Linked DNA regions of Drosophila melanogaster. The protein of the gene in region 1 interacts with the protein of each later gene in a pairwise test. Each region holds a gene or a part of one and is shown on either strand. Other genes may lie near its edges.

Region 1 (4,288 bases):
TATGATATCGATGCGAATAGAAGAGAAAAAAAGTTTGAAAATGCACGCAATAAGCAAAGCACGCGAAGTTTGTGAAAGCAATTGTAATTTCATAATGTTACTCAATTTTTGAGTACAAGGCCTCCAGCTACTGATCGGGTTTAAAATACATTTGTGTGCGCTATAAAATACAAAAAACAAAAACAGTTTGAGCACAACCCCTCAATTATTTAACTATCTGATACCCTAGTATCAGAATATGCGTAGCAAGACAAGGGAGAACGCTATGAATGAGTTCTCCGACTATCAGAAGATACACGTTAGTGGTTGGTTGGTTTTGGTATGTATTTATTCCTTATGCACCAAGACTATTACTTAGTAAAATCCGTATTCCCCATATTAAGCAAAACAAGAGTGTATGATATAATCGAGTTCCCCGACTATTAGATACTCATCGTTACTCAGCTAGTGGAAATGCGAATGGGAAATTTCATAATTTTTCTCGGATATCGATAGATATTGGGAAATAATATAATATTGGCAATTTAAAAGACTAATAATAATATGAAAAAGTATTAAAACATTTAGCAAACGTGTGGGCGTGACAGTTCTAGGCAGTTTGTGGGCGTTAGACTGGGCTTGGGAACATGGGCAACTGCACTGCGTCTACGTCTTTAGAATCTGTATGCTTCTTAACTTTCTTTTACCTTCTAGCTTTTATTGAAAAATAGATAGATTTCTGAGATCTCGACGTTCATACGGATGTCCGGCCGAACATGGATATATTGTATATTAGGAATATATATACAATATATGGTCGGAAACGCTTCCTTCTACCTGTTTCATAAGAATATTACTAAAAGGATATAACAAATTTAGTGCCGCTTTTAGGCATTTTGAATGTGCGCTTGTATGATTGAAACAGGGTTCATTCGACTTTTTAAATAAATAGAGTTTTATTTGGTTTTCATATCCATTAATTGTATAAAAACTAAAAAATTAGAAAATATAAATTCTTGATGAGGATCACAAGCGGAATCTTCCATCTGTCGATCAATATTAACTATAAGCTATATATGTACATATGTATATATGTATATACACTGTAAAAGCTAATGTGACACACACACAGCTCTAGTGTGTTTCAGAACGTCGTCTTGCCCACTATAACGCCCGCAAACTTCCCAAAATATCACACCATCGATAACCCAACAGAGTGTTGAATCTGTGCAATGATAAGTAAATTACAAGAACAATAAAGGATATATAGAAAAACTGAAATTTATGTGCCCAACAGGTCAATTTCAGTTGAGATAGTGGCGCCCTCTGTCGGGTATGCTTAATTTGTAAAAATCCCAATTATCGTATTTCAATAATTCGTTCTTAGCAACTCCTACATTTTTAATGGAATGGAAACCGCGCAACCGTTTCCCAGGTGAACCCCGTGCGACCGTCCACAGCAATCGAATGAATATTAGCCAAGGATAGCAGGGGGACACTGCGAGAAATTTCATATGGCAAGTGATAGTAACCTGTATTTGTTTAAGTATTAAAATAAAAAAACTAAAACCTATTTAAGTTAAAATTAATTTTATTTCGCTTTTATTTTCAGTTTCATGTATTGCTGTTTTTGAGAAATTTAGTACATATATCTTAATTCCTATTTTATGTAATATTTTCTTATTAAAATTCCGTTTAAAATTACCAACATTGTTGTTGACAATAATCTTAGTTTAATATTAATAATATATTTTAGAAATGGATCAATGTTTAGAGTTCGTTATCATATTTTCTCGCTATGCATTTTCCGTTACCTAGCAACCATCAATTTGGGATTCGGTGGCCCAAACAAAAGCTCCAACGACCACAACAAATGACGGTGTTGAAAATGCAATTGCCAGCGCAGCCGCAGCGATTGCAAGCAGCCAAAGAAAAACAGGTGAACTCGTTGGAAGCCAGGAATGTCCTTCAAGGATGTGCGAGGTGCGTACTGACTTCCTCCTCTTACTTCCTCCACCTAACACGACCAGACTGATACTCCACTTCCAGATCTGGGGGAACATCTTAAGCTGTTGGGGTTCCCGCGCGTGTTTCCCCTCCAATCCCTGGCCAATCAGCATGGCAGCCTGGCCAGTTTCCACATTGTTGCCGAGCTCCTTCAATGGCTAGCAGGACTAATAGAGCCAGGAGCCACTTTGCCCGGCGGCGTTGAATCGGAGGAGCAGCGGGTTCTTCTCGTCCGTTCGGCGACCGAGTTTTTTGTGACCAAGGCAGCCATTCGTATTAATCCCCGAAAACTGTATGCAGCCGCTGCGGTTACGGCGGCAGAGCTACAGAAGGTTACCCGACTCTTGACATCCCCAGGACAAAACGAAGCGGACAACGACGAAGAGGACCAAAGGGACCAGTACCGGAGCCTAAATCCCGTGGATATTGGCGATAAAATAGAGGAGTTGCGTAAGGCTCGAGAACTGGCCACAGACCTAACCCAGCGTGGCACAACCATATGCGAGATGCTTTCGAAGGAACTGCTCCACAAGGAATCGCTAATGTCCCAGGCCCAACGACCCCTGGAGCTGCTCAGCGTGGAGCGGACCCTGAAGAGCGCCATCCAAGCTAACCAAGTTCGCCTCCAATCGAGTAGAGCCCAACTGGAAGCAGCCAAGGTGGAGCTCAATGCTCTGGGATCAAAGCTGCAGCGCCGTCGGGCGGAGCTCGAGCGAACCCGCCAAAGACTGGAGGCACTGCATCGCATTCGACCAGCGCACATGGCCGAATTCGAGGACTGTGAGAAGGAGTTGCAGGAGCTATTCCAGCGCTACTTTCTCAGGCTGCATGTGCGCGATGCTCTAAAGTCCCAGCTGGACCTGCGTACTAAACGTGCCACACCTATCTCCTCACCCATTCTGCAAAAGCCCGCCGAGAACTCAATGCCCTTCATCCCGGAGGGACTCATCGAGGACGACGATGACGACGACGACGAGGACGATCTGGATGACGAGGATGAGGGCGATGATGGCGGCAAAGCACTTTCCCGTCTCGAAATGGTGGTCAATGGCAGGAGTGTCTTCGGCCTGGACTCAGAGATACCCGACATACGGGACGAGGACAAACTAATGCAACAAAACAACATGGTTTCCGCCCAGGGAAAACGTCCTGGTACCGCCACCTCCAGGATTAGACCCACAACGGGTAGAAGCAGGAAGGCAGTAGGAGGTAAGGAAGTTCTAATTTCACAAACTTATTTCCCTGCTCAAATAACGAAAATCCCAGGAAGAGGCACAGCCGGCCCGGATGGTGGTAATGATGCCAGGGCAGCCCGCGGCACCAGGAGAGGTGTTGCGACTGGAGGAGACGCCGATGGCACCCAGCTAAACGGCCGCAACGGACCCGGCAGCAGTATGCTCAACTCCCGGGACGAAGACAGCAGCTTCGGGAGCTCCGAAAGCGAACTGGATGTGGGTAAAATCATGGGCATGAGCGGAATGAGCGGAATGAGTGGCATGAGCGCTATCAGCGGGATAAGTGGGATGAGCAATATTGCCTTGGGAGCCGGCGATGATGATTGTAAGTCGTGTAGTTACGCCTTGAACTTATAACAAAACTTTACCTCATTCACCCCTAGTTGATCTGAACTCGATCGATGACATAAGCATTTCAAAGTTAACTGGCGAACTGCCACTTAGACCGAAGACCGCCAATAAAGCGGAGCATCACAGCGATGAGGATTTCTAGGGATAACTACAATATTTATATTTATTTGCTAATTTTATAAACTCAGCCAGAGGGCAGACAGGTTGTAAAAAGTAAATAAAATATTCCCATCAAGCAATTAAAAGATTTCTTTCCACGTCACAATCAAATACGTCACCGTCTCGCAAATAGACGGCCTTAGGGTTCCGGTTCCTGCAGTAACACGAATTGTCTGGCGATATGGTGACTAGTATGATGAGCAATCAAAGTGTAGTCAAAGATGGATTTCTGCATGTACATAGGTAAGTGGGACTGTGCAAGTCAAAGCATAGCCAGGATCCCTAACTAAGTACATCGTTATCTGTATGACTTTAGCTAATCTATTCCTCCAAGAAGCGAGATATAAATTAAATTTGCTTTTGTAGATACGTTATAATCAGTTAATTCAATGCTCGAATAATTGAAATAGTTTGCTTAATATATCTTTATTCGATTAATTTTAATGTGTCTTAAGAGCTATACGCATATGTAAGTACATTGATAGAGTAATGGATATAAAAGGGGTAATTTATCAGACAAAGCCCCACATAGATGGGATTTCGTTGTGGCTCCGTAA
Region 2 (4,017 bases), about 22 Mb from region 1:
CCCGGAGCGCTCGCAGTTTCTGTACACGTAGGCAGGCAGCAATGCGATGATTAAGACACAAAACGCAGGCGCGCCACTTTCAACAGAAAGTGGATGCTGAATGAATGAACTATTTTCCCCAGAACCACTTTCTTGAACTTTCTTAGTGCCAATTTTTAAACTTGTGCCACAAATGTGGGCACGCCACGCACACAAACGTAAAAAAACACCGACACACCGATGCAAAGATCTACGCACACCCAGATGCGCGCACAATAGAGCTGCAGTTATTGCACTTTCTTTTCGTACACTTTTTTCGCAATGATCTTCTCGCCAGCCTAGGATGAATCAGCGTATATTCGCTTCTTAAACAACTGCCATGATACATACATTTTATTCGCAACACGGAGAATATAAATAAAATCGCAAATGAAGTCACGAAAGTACGCGAACGCAGCAGCGACCACTGTTGCCACTCGGCTGCGATCAGATGACATTGCCAGATGCGACTTAGAGGAGTTGCCAGAAGGTTGTTGTTGACAACCGGATGGCGCCAGATTTAAATATATGCGTTCCTCGTCTCCCGAGGTTTAACTAACTTTTATTTTCTCTAGAGCTCAACAAATAAATCTCCAAAAATGAAACTAACACAAGAATAACCATTGTGTGTGGCCTAAATATGTACGGTCTGTTATATATTATCTTTTAAAACGTGTCGTATCAAAAACTACCTCAAAATACTATTATGTTAAGGCAAAATTTGGAAAAGTGCATTCAGACATTCCGGTTCGTCCTAAAGAACGCATATCATCGTAAATGTTGTTTACTCTGTGTTAAGCATTGTGTTTTTGTGTTCTTAGAGCAGTGAGTTTTCGTTATTCCTGCCTATCACTGGAATAAAACACCAAAAAAAAACCTTAATTCGCATACAATGGGTGTGGTTTTCTTAATGTGTATACATGTATATAAAGTATAGGATTTTTTTCCGAGTCTAAATGCTTGGAGTGGGCTTGCGATATATAGTTACACAGTTGATTGCTTCAGATTGGTGCCAATTTAGTCCCTACATTTGCGTCCCCATTGACACATTTACCGCACCTATTCGCCAGGGAGGCCAATCAATAGGGTCATTGATTATTCATGAATACCAACCCCTGCTCCATCGAGCCCTTTCTCGGGCTTTTTGCGACCCTTCTGGGAGCTAGCTATCCGCTGTTTTAGAGTGTGAAAAGTCTGCTGCATGCTGCGCATTTGGTACCGTATGGAGCTGCTGACGTCACGCTGCAACTGCTGCACCTCGCGAATGTCCTTGCGCAGATTCTGGTACTCGTTGGTCACCTCGCTCATCGACTCGAGCAACTCGAGGACCTCCATCTCGTCCATCTGCTCCATCGTCGTCTGTTCGAGGCTGCGCTCCACCGCGTGCAGTTTGTGGGCCATCGTGTACAGCTGCGATCCTGCATTGGCCACCTTGAAGCAGAGGGAAATGTAGGTTACCTATGGATTAAGTAATTGAATTTTGGCCGCTTCCGTTCTCTCTTCAGCTTAGGGAAGCATTGAAAAGATATTCCCAGGAGAACTTATGATCAAATCCTGATAACAACATCTTAAATTAAGTTCGATAAACTTGGATTAACAGTCTACATTTAGGTACTTTGGACAAAGATCTTAAATACTCATATTTCGGCACCAACTGACAATGTGGCTTATGATTGTAATAGACCGCCATGGAGTGTCCCTAATTTCTCTCACTACACTCTGAGTGCCTATACTTCTGAATGAATAAGTGGCTATTTCTGTTTGCCTGGTCGATAAGCTCACCGATTTTTCCAGAGCGCTGATGTCCTGGTAGCCCGGCGTGGCCTCCATCTTTTCCAGATCCCAAGCTGCCTCTCGACCTCAGCCTCTTGGCATGACAGTAAGTAGTAAGTCAGCGCAGCAAGTCCATACTGCGGCAAATAACAAAATTGTTTTTGCCTAACTTAAGGCGCGTCGTCCGGAGCGCTGACAGTCCAGTCCAAGCTCTCCGAGCAGAGTGAGCGAGTCCTGCGATTGGTCCCACTATTTATATGCTCCTGCACACAAGTTGACTTCCGCATTCCGCAGCAAGAGAGGGAGCGAGAGAAAGAGCGAGTGGCAGTGCTGGTACTTCTTTAGCTTGCTTAAAAACAACGTATAAAAATATGCTATATTTAATCGAATTCTTTTTAGTATATGCTTACACTTTTCGAAGCCAATGGATTTTTTGTAAACGTTATGGATTTCAAATGACAGAACTTTTTTTTTGTAATTCCTTGATTCAACTACCGGTGGGCATCACTGAAGAGCAGAAAGGAGCTACTATTGTCCCATTGAGAGACAAAGCAAACCACTTTCTTTAAAAAAGAGAAAGCCTTTCATTTGTGTTGCATCTATTTCCATGGATTTTGTTTTCCCGGTGCAGGCTAGTCCTTTTGATTATGTTGACCAGGAAGCGGGGCTGCTAGCAAAAGCTTACCCTGCCCGATGATGAAAGCGAACTTGCTATTTTAATAGACCAAAAGCCTAAAAGCAGGCAGACAAATTTTCATTCAGAAAGTGAAAAATGCGCCAGCCTGCTTCTGTCCACACTGCGTTCCAGGAAACATTTTTAGGATTTATCTGTTCAGCTAGGAAGCACTTATCACCTAATTGATTATTTTTTCCATCCTCGGTTAAGCACTAGTATTAATATTTGATTACATTTCGTTTAAGTTCATATGTACATGTGTCCATACGTACATATGTACATATGTACATACGTTGATGGAAAAACACAAATATACTACATTGGATCCGCCGGTGTTTATAAATACCCTAAGCCAGTTCAGCATGTCTAGCATCGAAGATCCAATACACTTCCACTGTTGTACACTTAAAAAGTTGTTACAATCTAACTGGAACACATAAACTGGCTTGATTACCATAAAATTGATTAACCATAGAGTATGCATTTGGGTACTACAATACTACACTGCCGTCACCATAGCTAACATTCCCTTCCAGCAGGGAATTGACAAGAACGCAAACACCGCAAAGCAAGCACTACACTCACACACACATACTCACAACGAGCCCCCAAAAAACAGCAACAGCAACAATTGCGAAAACAGAGCAACACAAAAACAACAGCTGTGCCCCCGGTTCCTAACGGTGTGTGCGGTAGCAAGTTACATACATATGTGCGTGTACACGTGTGTGTGAGCATCAAACTATAACCACTTGCTAATGTAAAGCACTTTTTGACGTGGTCTTCGCCTTCGCCTTCGTATATCAACAATCGCCACACCATGCCAATACCACACCACACCACCATACATTACCTCAAACCTATACAGATATATGTACATATATATTTCCATTCATGTATATGTGTAGAGAACAGTGGAGAATAACTGGCATCAGAAATGGGCGGCTGCGCTGCGTTCAGTTTCAGTGTAGCCACCGTTCGGAGAGCACGCGATCCGATCCCCGCACCAAATTCTCATCTCCGTATCCCCAAGATGTCCCTAGTGCGATTGATCGGAGCAGAGGTGAGTTTCCAATTGGTGGGTGGGTGTATGTCCTATAGGCATGCTAGGCTGCCATCCTCACCCTGACATACATACATACGTGCATCCATCCATCAGCATTTGGATCGTTTTGGCGCTCTCTCTCGTTCTCTCTGACACTGGTGTGGCCGTGAATTCGGTAATTGGCGATGCGATTGGCCTTGGGCATGTAATGTATGCACTTTCGGCGCCCATCTCACACTCCACCCACTCTAGTGATTGGAATGGCCCACGGGTGTGAGCGGCGAACGGGCAGTTGAAAACAACACATGTTACGCAATACGTCGCTGCGAAGCGGAAGAAGTAGAACTAGAACCAGAATATTAAGCAGATAAAGCGCACAAGGCGAATTCGCGGGGAATTTAGCGGTACAATGTTTGAGTTGACGTTAAATCCAATAAAACGCGATAAGCGGTACCTTTCCACGACAGGCGCGCCATGAAAATCTCGAATTTGCCAGATGGACACT
Region 3 (5,524 bases), on another chromosome or scaffold:
AAGCTAGAGGCCGAAGTGTGGCCGCCACGCCAGTCAATCCGGTTGATTATGTTGTGCTCCCTTTGCAACAGCTCCTGATCGTAGTTCCAAGTGTATTTGGGCTTGCACTTGCACATCACCTGATTAACGGCGTAGTCTACTTTCTCGCGGTCAGCGGGGTTGATGTCCTCGTTAAACTCCACCTCGTCCTGCAAGTTCTCAACCTGTTAGCAAGGATTTATAAGAAGCTCAACTTATCCCTAAAAGCTTAATTTTGTAACCTCATGATCTACCCTTCTTACCATCACTTAAGGCTTAACAACTTACCTCTGTGGTTGTTTCATCTTCACTGGAAAGAGAATAGGGTCCCATGTCGTCGTTGGAGGAACTGTCGTCAGCGGACTCGGCTATATGCGGTTCAGGCGCATCATCGCTGTACTCTTCTGCGTGCTCGGTCCCCTCCTCCAGCTCATGTTCTTCTGAATCGCTTGTGTCCGAGTAGGAGCCCACTAGCTCTATGCTGATACGGCGATAGGAGCGCGTGGGTGGTATGTTGCGTGGATTGAAGCGGGGTGAACTGACCGCTTCGGAAGCTTCAATTGGCGTCGGTGAAGTAGGTGGATAGTCTTCGCTGTCGCTAGGCTCGATGACACCGGTGGAAGCATCTGGCTCATCAGAAGCCAGCACGGTGGAGGCTGCTTCCGGGGATAATTGATGCGCTAAATTGGAGGAGCCTGCCTGTTCTATTTCCGGCAGCTCCTCAGGTCCAACTTTATTAGCAAGATGCTCCTCGGACTGCTCGCTCTCATCCTGGAGCTGGTTTTCCTTGCCCTCCATATCGCTCTCTCCGTTATTGTTGTGAGTGACAATTGTGTCGAAGTTAATTAAAGGCTGGCTTTCGGCGACAGTGTTCTCCTCACTGGTTCCCCACGGGCGAAAAATCAATGGATTATCCAAGCCGCAGAGCATGCTCAACCCAAGACACAACACTTACCCAATCTGCGCCGCGTCTTCAGGCTCGCCATCGTTCTGGGAATCTGTGTTTCGCTTTTGGCGCTTGCAGGCGGATGCCGCTCCGCTCGCCACGGAATCCTCCACGTCCATCGCCGGTGGAGCACGTCTACAATCTCAGATCAGAATCTGCCTTCTTTCCCGCCCCGCTGGACTTTCCCTAATTTCCCGATTTTACGTTGTTTACGTCCAACTAGCAGAGATGGCACTTGCCTCACGCGCAAAAGCCCGATTGACCGATAGCTTTGGCGCGACTTATCGGCCAGTTTGAAAGTCTGTGGATGGAGTATAATCCTGCTTACGCCTAAGATGTGTGGCTTCAGCCTTTAAATACGATCAGTGACTTCCCTCCCACACGAGGCTTGGTGAACTGTAGAAATGCCTTGCTTTCAATATAAACGAAAGAAGAAAACAAACTCAAGGCATAGTAGATGTGCATTTTCTAGATTCTAGTAGGGAAGTTGGAAACTCTTTTTCTTAGAGAAACTCGTATATAGAGTATCCAAATAAGCAAGAAATTGCACCCCCATATTTGATTATACTATATTTAATGTATACTCTTAAATTATAGTTATAAATATATTTATTTTCAACAAGCATGGCAGGTCTCTTCAATGGTATTCACACTTAGCAAGCCATCTCTTCGAACCTTTTTAGTTCGTTGTTCTTCTCTGTTGGCTTTATGCTGAGCACGACTACTTCCCCGCTCCAACACCTTGGCATTTCGCCTCTTGGATGACTTCGCTGAGAGTGGCATGTGGTTGGGCCGGTGGATCGGGTTCGGCTTGAGTGGCTCCACAGAGCTGCGACGGAGCCGATTATATACGCATGAGACCGAAGACGGAGAGACGAGTTCAGTTATAAGCGAGCTGGCTTCGAGGGCGGTGCTAAGAGTTTCGTGGTCGCTAAAGCGGAAAAACAACTCCAGATCGGGTAATGAAATGAAACATGGTGCGGAGAGCCAGCGATATGAACTCGATACGCTGGGCACGTTGACGGTTCCACATATGTGCCCTATGTGCAGCTACTTACCAGGGAGCACAGTGAATGTACTTGTTTTTATGTCACCCGATGGTTTCTTAGCTCGTCTGTGAGTGTGCCTGTGTGCTGGTTAAGTGGCTTCCCACTTCCTCTGCTGCGCATGCGCAGCCGCCAAGTGCGAAAATGGCCAGCAATCCATCTGAGAGCCCATCTCCGCCCCAAGTGATGTTTGTTCTCGGGTTCGCGGCCTGGATTTTTTCCTCTACTTTTCGATTTCGATTTCGTACCCGCGTTTTTTCGACTCGCCTCTAATCTCGTGATGAACGGCGAATTCCGGTTTGCCAGGGGCAAGCTGAGCAGCAAAATCCAATAAAAAAAATAAATATGCATAAGTTTGGGGGAAAAAGGCGGAAAGTGAAACCGCTCTGAGCTTGGTTTTCCGCCCATTCCTCGGTGCGCACTTCCTATTTTCCAGGTCTCGCCACATTACCAAATCTTAAGTGCCTATTCATGCCGATTGTTATCAGACCCGAGATATCAAGGCTAACTTGTTTCGCCTCCGAAAAGATAATAAGTTACGCTCTGGAGCTGCGGGCAGCATGATTCACGGTTCTGGACGATGCAACAAGATTCGCTGGTCAGCTTCTTAAGGTCGCACTGGCGAAAGTTGAGAATCAGGTTGGACTACCCACTCGAATATGACTTGAACTGGAGGGAACAAAGCAGATTCTTTGATTACATTCGTCTTGATTTCGATTTCTGAAGTAAACGATCTGTGTGACTCACTATGCATAGTTCTTCCACAAATGTTGAAAAACTTTAACGTTTCGTTTAGCAAAACAAATGGTGCAGTGTAGTTTGTTTAGCCTCTAGAATACAAATCGATTATTATTATAAACCCAAACAACTAACGATTAGTTTGATGCACAAAAGGTGAACAAATACCTATAAATAATAAACTGCAGCTACCTTTTAGACCCAGACATTGACTTTGGAATGCCTGGCACTTTTCTGACTACATGGGTCGCTTCTTGTGCCTTTCACTTTTCCCGTTCAATTAAGACGCCAATTGAGCTGAATTGAAATTATAAATTGTCACAACAAAGTTGCACGCAAAGCACTTAACTCGATTCTTCATTCTCCATTCTCCATTCTCGATTCCGGTTCGTCTTCACCAGAAAACCAATCCGCAACAGATGACGCTGAGGAGCAGACTTAGTGGGGAAGCACCGCAGCTGTGGCTGCTCCTCCTCCTGGCCTCCACTGCGAGCAGCTTGTGGGCTTCGGTGGCCGCCAGGACAGGTGAGTCTTACGCTCGGCTTAACCACAAAGGGGTGGCTCACCGCTGATTGTCCTACGTTTTCTATTCGCAGGACCCCTGCACGACAAGGTGGTGGTTTGCTACGTTTCCACATGGGCTGTTTACCGGCCGGAGCAGGGTGCCTATGCCATCGAGAACTTCGACCCCAATTTGTGCACCCATGTGGTGTACGCCTTTGCCGGCCTGGACATCACCCAGGCAGCCATCAAGTCGTTGGGTGAGTTTCCGGTTCGATTTATGGCCATATGCAAATTTAAAACATTGCTGATTGCAGATCCCTGGCAGGACCTAAAGGAGGAGTACGGCAAGGGTGGCTACGAGAAAATGACGGGTCTGAAGCGCAGCCATCCGCATCTGAAGGTCAGCCTGGCCATCGGCGGCTGGAACGAGGGATCGGCCAACTACTCCACCCTGGTGGCCAACAATCTGCTGCGCGGCAGGTTCGTCAAGCAGGTGTCCAGTTTCATACGCAAGTACAACTTCGACGGGCTGGATCTCGACTGGGAGTATCCCACGCAGCGGAAGGGCAAGCCCGCGGATCGCGAGAACTTCGTTCTGCTGACCAAGGAGCTGCGCGAGGAGTTCGACGAGCACGGCCTGCTGCTGACCTCCGCCATCGGAGCCTCCAAGAAGGTGATCGACGAGGCCTATGACGTGCGGCAGATCTCGCGTTACTTGGACTACCTGCACATCATGTGCTACGACTACCACGGCAGCTGGGACCGCCGAGTTGGTTACAATGCTCCGCTCACGGCGCCCGCGGATGATCCGCTGAGTGTGGTAAGTGCACCTGGGTACCAATTCCTGGAATAAATGCCCGATACCCTATACCCTAGATTACGTAAAATTGATAATCAGGAAGCAGAGAGAGAGGAATATCATTAACTCTTTTCCTTTACTTTTACAGAAATTCTCCATTGACTACCTGCTGAAACTGGGCGCCCCGCCGGAGAAGCTGGTGATGGGCCTGCCCTTCTACGGACGCACCTTCAAGACGTTGGCCAGTGGATTCCTGAACGACGTCAGCGAAGGCGTAGGCTTCAAGGGACCCTACACGCGGGAGGACGGCTTCCTGGGCTACAACGAGATCTGCCAGACACTGAGCAACCAGACCTCCGGATGGACAAGGGAGTGGGATCCGCAAACCAGCCAGGTGCTGGCCAAGTCCGAGCGAAACGTCTTCACCCAGGAGATCAACGTGGTGACCTACGACAGCTCCCGCTCCATCGCCAACAAGGTGTTGTTCGCCATGTCCAAGCGGCTTGCGGGTGTGATGGTGTGGTCCGTGGACACGGACGACTTCCTGGGTAACTGCAAGCTGGACGAGGACACGTACGAGGACTTCCAGAAGGTGACTGCCGCGCCCAAGAGATCGAGCCAGAACTATCCCCTTCTGCGGACCATCAACGAGGCCACCATGCTGGCCGTGGACGAGCTGGCTGTGCCGGAGCCGCAGCCGGATGACTCCGAGAACGAGATTCCGCACGGCAGCATAGCGGATCGCAAGAATGCCGGCGCTTCTATGGTCAGTCTGGGCCTCGGAGTCACCGCTGTCTTCATGCTCCTGCACCGGTTGGCCCAGTGAGAAATTGAGGGAGTGCTCCGGTAGCCATAGTCTTAGAAACACATCACCTTGTTCACGTAGTCATTAAAATCCAAATTGTATTTTTAAGATAAAACCTGGTTTTCCTTCGATTCTTGGGGATCATAACGCTTTGAGTAAGAATATATCATTAAAGGTACATATATACATATGTATGTGTAGCTTCCATCCTAATTTTTAGTTACCCTTTGGTTTAGCCAAAAAGAAAGGAACCCGAAGTTTTTGTTAAAATATTTTGGTTATACTTGGTGTACTCTTTAATAAATTTAACTGGCGCTCTAACATTTAACTAACTAGTCATATATTTGTATGTGTATATGGGTGTGTGTATACGCAACTATGTAAATACGCAGGTAAATATAACATAATTTGTATATAATATCCATAGATTATCATTGCTACAAGTTGTCAACATTCAATTCAATGCTACCATATGTGATAAGTAATATATGTACTAGGTAAACTATGCAAAGGATACGCGTAAAGTAGTTAAAGCAAGGTTTGCAGCCCCGAGGACTTTCGATAGTTGGGGAGATAGGACATACATATAATAGAATAGAGTTCCGTTCTTGGATGGCAAACATTACAAGTGCGACGATTCTAAACCAAAGGTGGTTCTACAGGCAGTG
Region 4 (3,182 bases), on another chromosome or scaffold:
TCGGATCTACGAAAAGAATTACATCTGTGGTAACTGATCAATGGGAGTGGTAAACTTAAAGTCCTCGGGGAAAAGCTTAGCTGCGTGCGGATACATAAGTTTGTAGGACTGTCTGATGGTGACGTCGGCCACACCGGCTATATCACCGATTTCCTTCTGGCTTCTCTTATGCTCGGATGCTTGTGAGGCCATATAGATTGCGGCTGCGGCCACAGAAATTGGCGAACGTCCCGGTACAATATCCATCTCGACGGCTTTCTTTGCAATGTGCGTGGCAGCGCGTTGGACCATGTTCGGCAGGTCTGATAAGAATTATAGGTATTAATCCTGCTACCTTCAAGTACAGAAAGTGTAAAAACACTTACCCAAGTTGGCGCAGAAGCGGCACATGAAGTCCGCAGTGGTTATGAGATCCACACTTGTCTCGAGAGCCTTCAATGTTAGCTTAAAGCAACGGCCAATCTCTTTTTTGCTGATCTTGCTGACAGCACATATTTCCTTGAATGTGCGAGGAACTCCTTCTTGGCGACAAGCTATATACAGACAAGCGGATGCCTTGGCATCGTTGGAACGACCCTTGAGGTTCTTTCCATCATGAACCTACAAGAAAACGGCATGAGGTCTCAACCAAATCAACCGCGAACTCGAATTTCACCTGTTTGAACAAGTTGTTGGCCCGATCGACAATGGTTTTGGGCAAGTTAATGCGATCGGCCATCGAGGATATCTCCTTAAAGGCTGATATGAGGGAGCGATCCGAGCTGCTCATGGTGCGTCTGTTTTGGTACTTGGGTGCTCCAAAGGCGTCAAAGGATGCGGATCCTGTGCCCGGACCAATTATGGTGGACAAGTCGCCGCCACTGAGCAGCGGATTCTCCGGTCCACCGACACGACTGGGATCCACGCCGCTCTTCTCGTTGCTAAAGGTACGCCACTCGGAGCCCACATCAATTACGCGGTCCCCAACCACCAGACCACACTCGGAGCAAATCATATCGCCAGCCCTGTAGTCCTCGATGAGCGGAGATTCGGGGTGTGCGTAGCAGCACACCTTGTTGTTGTCCAGTCTGCAAGCAGTAAGCCATTATTGGTGTTCACAAATTGTTAGGAAACCCGACTTTTACCTCGATGTCGATGCCATTTGTACTCTGTAAGCTATATATTTTTTTAATACTCACATCAACTGGTGATGTGACTTTGCCCGATAACTCGATAGCTGCTTAGGTTTTTGCTTCACAGAAATCGGAATATGGGAAAGTCAACTTTAATAATTATTTTTCTGTATTTTAAGTTTTCTTGCTGTTAATAATAACTTAACCACCTTTAGCATTTTAGCAATCTGTTTTACTTTCACAATTAATGTTCTATATTTTAAGTTTCCATGCTGTTAATAATAAGCACCATTTTAACTTGATTAAAAGTTATTAATTCATAAATAAAAATTTTTAACAATAATAGATGTTTTTTGTCTAGCCAATTCCAAATTAACGCATGTTATTATTTATTTTTTAAGCTGTTTCTTTTTCACCGTTCCATAAGCGAGACAGGCCTTCAACTTCGCAATTTCGCACCCCACATAAACATGCGAGCATGTTCAAGCATTTGGAAACGTGGCAACCCTGCTCGCTTATTGTTATGGCAACAACAGGATGCCGTGCTAAACAAACTCATTGACATGAGAAAATAATCAAGTTCCGCATTGATGTTCGTAGTTTGTACGAGTTTCGGCTGTGCGAAAAATTTACGGCCAACCTTAACTGGCCCTATATAAATTTCGAAGAGACTATACTCTCCGTGGGGCGAACCGGTCACTGCACAGCAGTCGCGAAATGTTCAAAAACACTTTCCAATCGGGATTCCTATCAATTCTGTACAGTATTGGCTCAAAGCCACTGCAGCTGTGGGATAAGAAGGTGCGCAATGGACACATCAAGCGGATCACCGACAACGACATACAAAGCCTCGTGTTGGAAATAGTCGGCACCAATGTCAGCACCACGTTCATAACATGTCCGGCAGATCCGAAGAAGACGCTGGGCATCAAGCTGCCCTTCCTGGTGATGATCATCAAGAACATGAAGAAGTACTTCACCTTCGAGGTTCAGGTAAGCTTCGTCATCTTGCATAAGACAGTAACTCCATGATTTCCGCCCCTAATCAGGTTCTCGATGACAAGAACGTGCGGCGAAGGTTTAGGGCCAGTAACTACCAGTCGACAACTCGTGTCAAGCCTTTCATTTGCACCATGCCCATGCGATTGGACGAGGGATGGAACCAGATCCAGTTCAACCTGTCCGACTTCACGCGTCGCGCATACGGCACCAATTATGTGGAGACACTCCGTGTACAGATTCATGCAAATTGCCGCATCAGACGCGTCTACTTCTCCGATCGTCTCTACTCGGAGGACGAGCTGCCGCCGGAGTTTAAGCTCTTCCTTCCCATTCAGAAGCCGGTGCAGAAGTCCAATGCGATTTGTAGCTAAATTCTGTATGCATCATCAATCAATTAGAGCACCTAACCAGACGGAGTCGACGATTAAAACGGCACAAAATGCACAAGACTGCCATCCAGCACTCATTCAACACTTTATGGGAATCACGAATAAAAATTGCATCATGTACATAAAATTCTATTGATCTCTTGTAAGTATCTCCGTTCCCGTCTCGGTTATCAGAATGGTGTGCTCGAACTGGGCGCTACGTGCGCCATCCAAACTAATGGCCGTCCAGCCATCTTGCAGCACTGCTATTTCTGCTCCGCCCAGGGACAGAATGGGTTCAATGGTGAAGGTCATGCCGGGCTGCATCTTTCCAGGAATCTCATTATCTACGATGTGCAGTTTGATTAGCAATGGAGGAGTCTCTTAAACAGTCTTACTTACAATAGTGTAGTATCTCCGGGGGGCCGTGGAAATAGCTACCGATTCCATGTCCAATGAAAGCAGCTATCGATGCCAGATCATGTTCGTCGCAATATCTGTCTATGAACTTTCCAATCTCATTGAATTCCACACCGGGGCCGCACAGCGAAATGCACTGATCCAAACAGGATTTAGTGGCCTCCACGAGAAAGCCACCCCGTTCGTCCACGTTGCCCACCCGAAATGTTTCCGAACAGTCGCCATGGTAGCCGTTCAAAAAGACTGTGACATCAATATTTATAATATCCCCATCGGCCAA

The links.
Region 2: the proteins of Cluap1 (region 1) and CG17778 interact in a two-hybrid assay, tested with the Drosophila melanogaster proteins (one large-scale study listed by BioGRID).
Region 3: the proteins of Cluap1 (region 1) and Cht2 interact in a two-hybrid assay, tested with the Drosophila melanogaster proteins (one large-scale study listed by BioGRID).
Region 4: the proteins of Cluap1 (region 1) and Bug22 interact in a two-hybrid assay, tested with the Drosophila melanogaster proteins (one large-scale study listed by BioGRID).

What each region holds. Positions count from the first base shown.
Region 1 is NC_004354.4:22,541,876-22,546,163, reverse strand, and holds Cluap1 (clusterin associated protein 1), read left to right. Parts: upstream 1-1,841; 5' UTR 1,842-1,940; coding exon 1,941-1,962; intron 1,963-2,028; coding exon 2,029-3,195; intron 3,196-3,252; coding exon 3,253-3,546; intron 3,547-3,604; coding exon 3,605-3,714; 3' UTR 3,715-3,778; downstream 3,779-4,288.
Region 2 is NC_004354.4:492,901-496,917, reverse strand, and holds CG17778 (uncharacterized protein), read right to left. Parts: upstream 2,305-4,017; 5' UTR 2,202-2,304; intron 2,141-2,201; 5' UTR 1,849-2,140; coding exon 1,801-1,848; intron 1,450-1,800; coding exon 1,114-1,449; 3' UTR 549-1,113; downstream 1-548. Other genes in the region: CG17896 (uncharacterized protein), read left to right, coding at 3,501-3,530.
Region 3 is NT_037436.4:1,751,986-1,757,509, reverse strand, and holds Cht2 (chitinase 2), read left to right. Parts: upstream 1-1,575; 5' UTR 1,576-1,923; intron 1,924-2,237; exon of another isoform or gene 2,238-3,149; 5' UTR 3,150-3,167; coding exon 3,168-3,273; intron 3,274-3,344; coding exon 3,345-3,509; intron 3,510-3,566; coding exon 3,567-4,072; intron 4,073-4,199; coding exon 4,200-4,877; 3' UTR 4,878-4,967; downstream 4,968-5,524. Other genes in the region: CG8001 (uncharacterized protein), read right to left, coding at 1-203, 307-898, 974-1,083.
Region 4 is NT_033779.5:10,429,362-10,432,543, reverse strand, and holds Bug22 (basal body up regulated gene 22), read left to right. Parts: upstream 1-1,625; 5' UTR 1,626-1,829; coding exon 1,830-2,105; intron 2,106-2,161; coding exon 2,162-2,485; 3' UTR 2,486-2,624; downstream 2,625-3,182. Other genes in the region: TfIIB (transcription factor IIB), read right to left, coding at 19-302, 366-600, 656-1,067, 1,125-1,141; CG5188 (uncharacterized protein), read right to left, coding at 2,633-2,829, 2,885-3,182. UniProt on the Drosophila melanogaster protein: Cilium- and flagellum-specific protein that plays a role in axonemal structure organization and motility. Microtubule inner protein (MIP) part of the dynein-decorated doublet microtubules (DMTs) in cilia axoneme, which is required for motile cilia beating.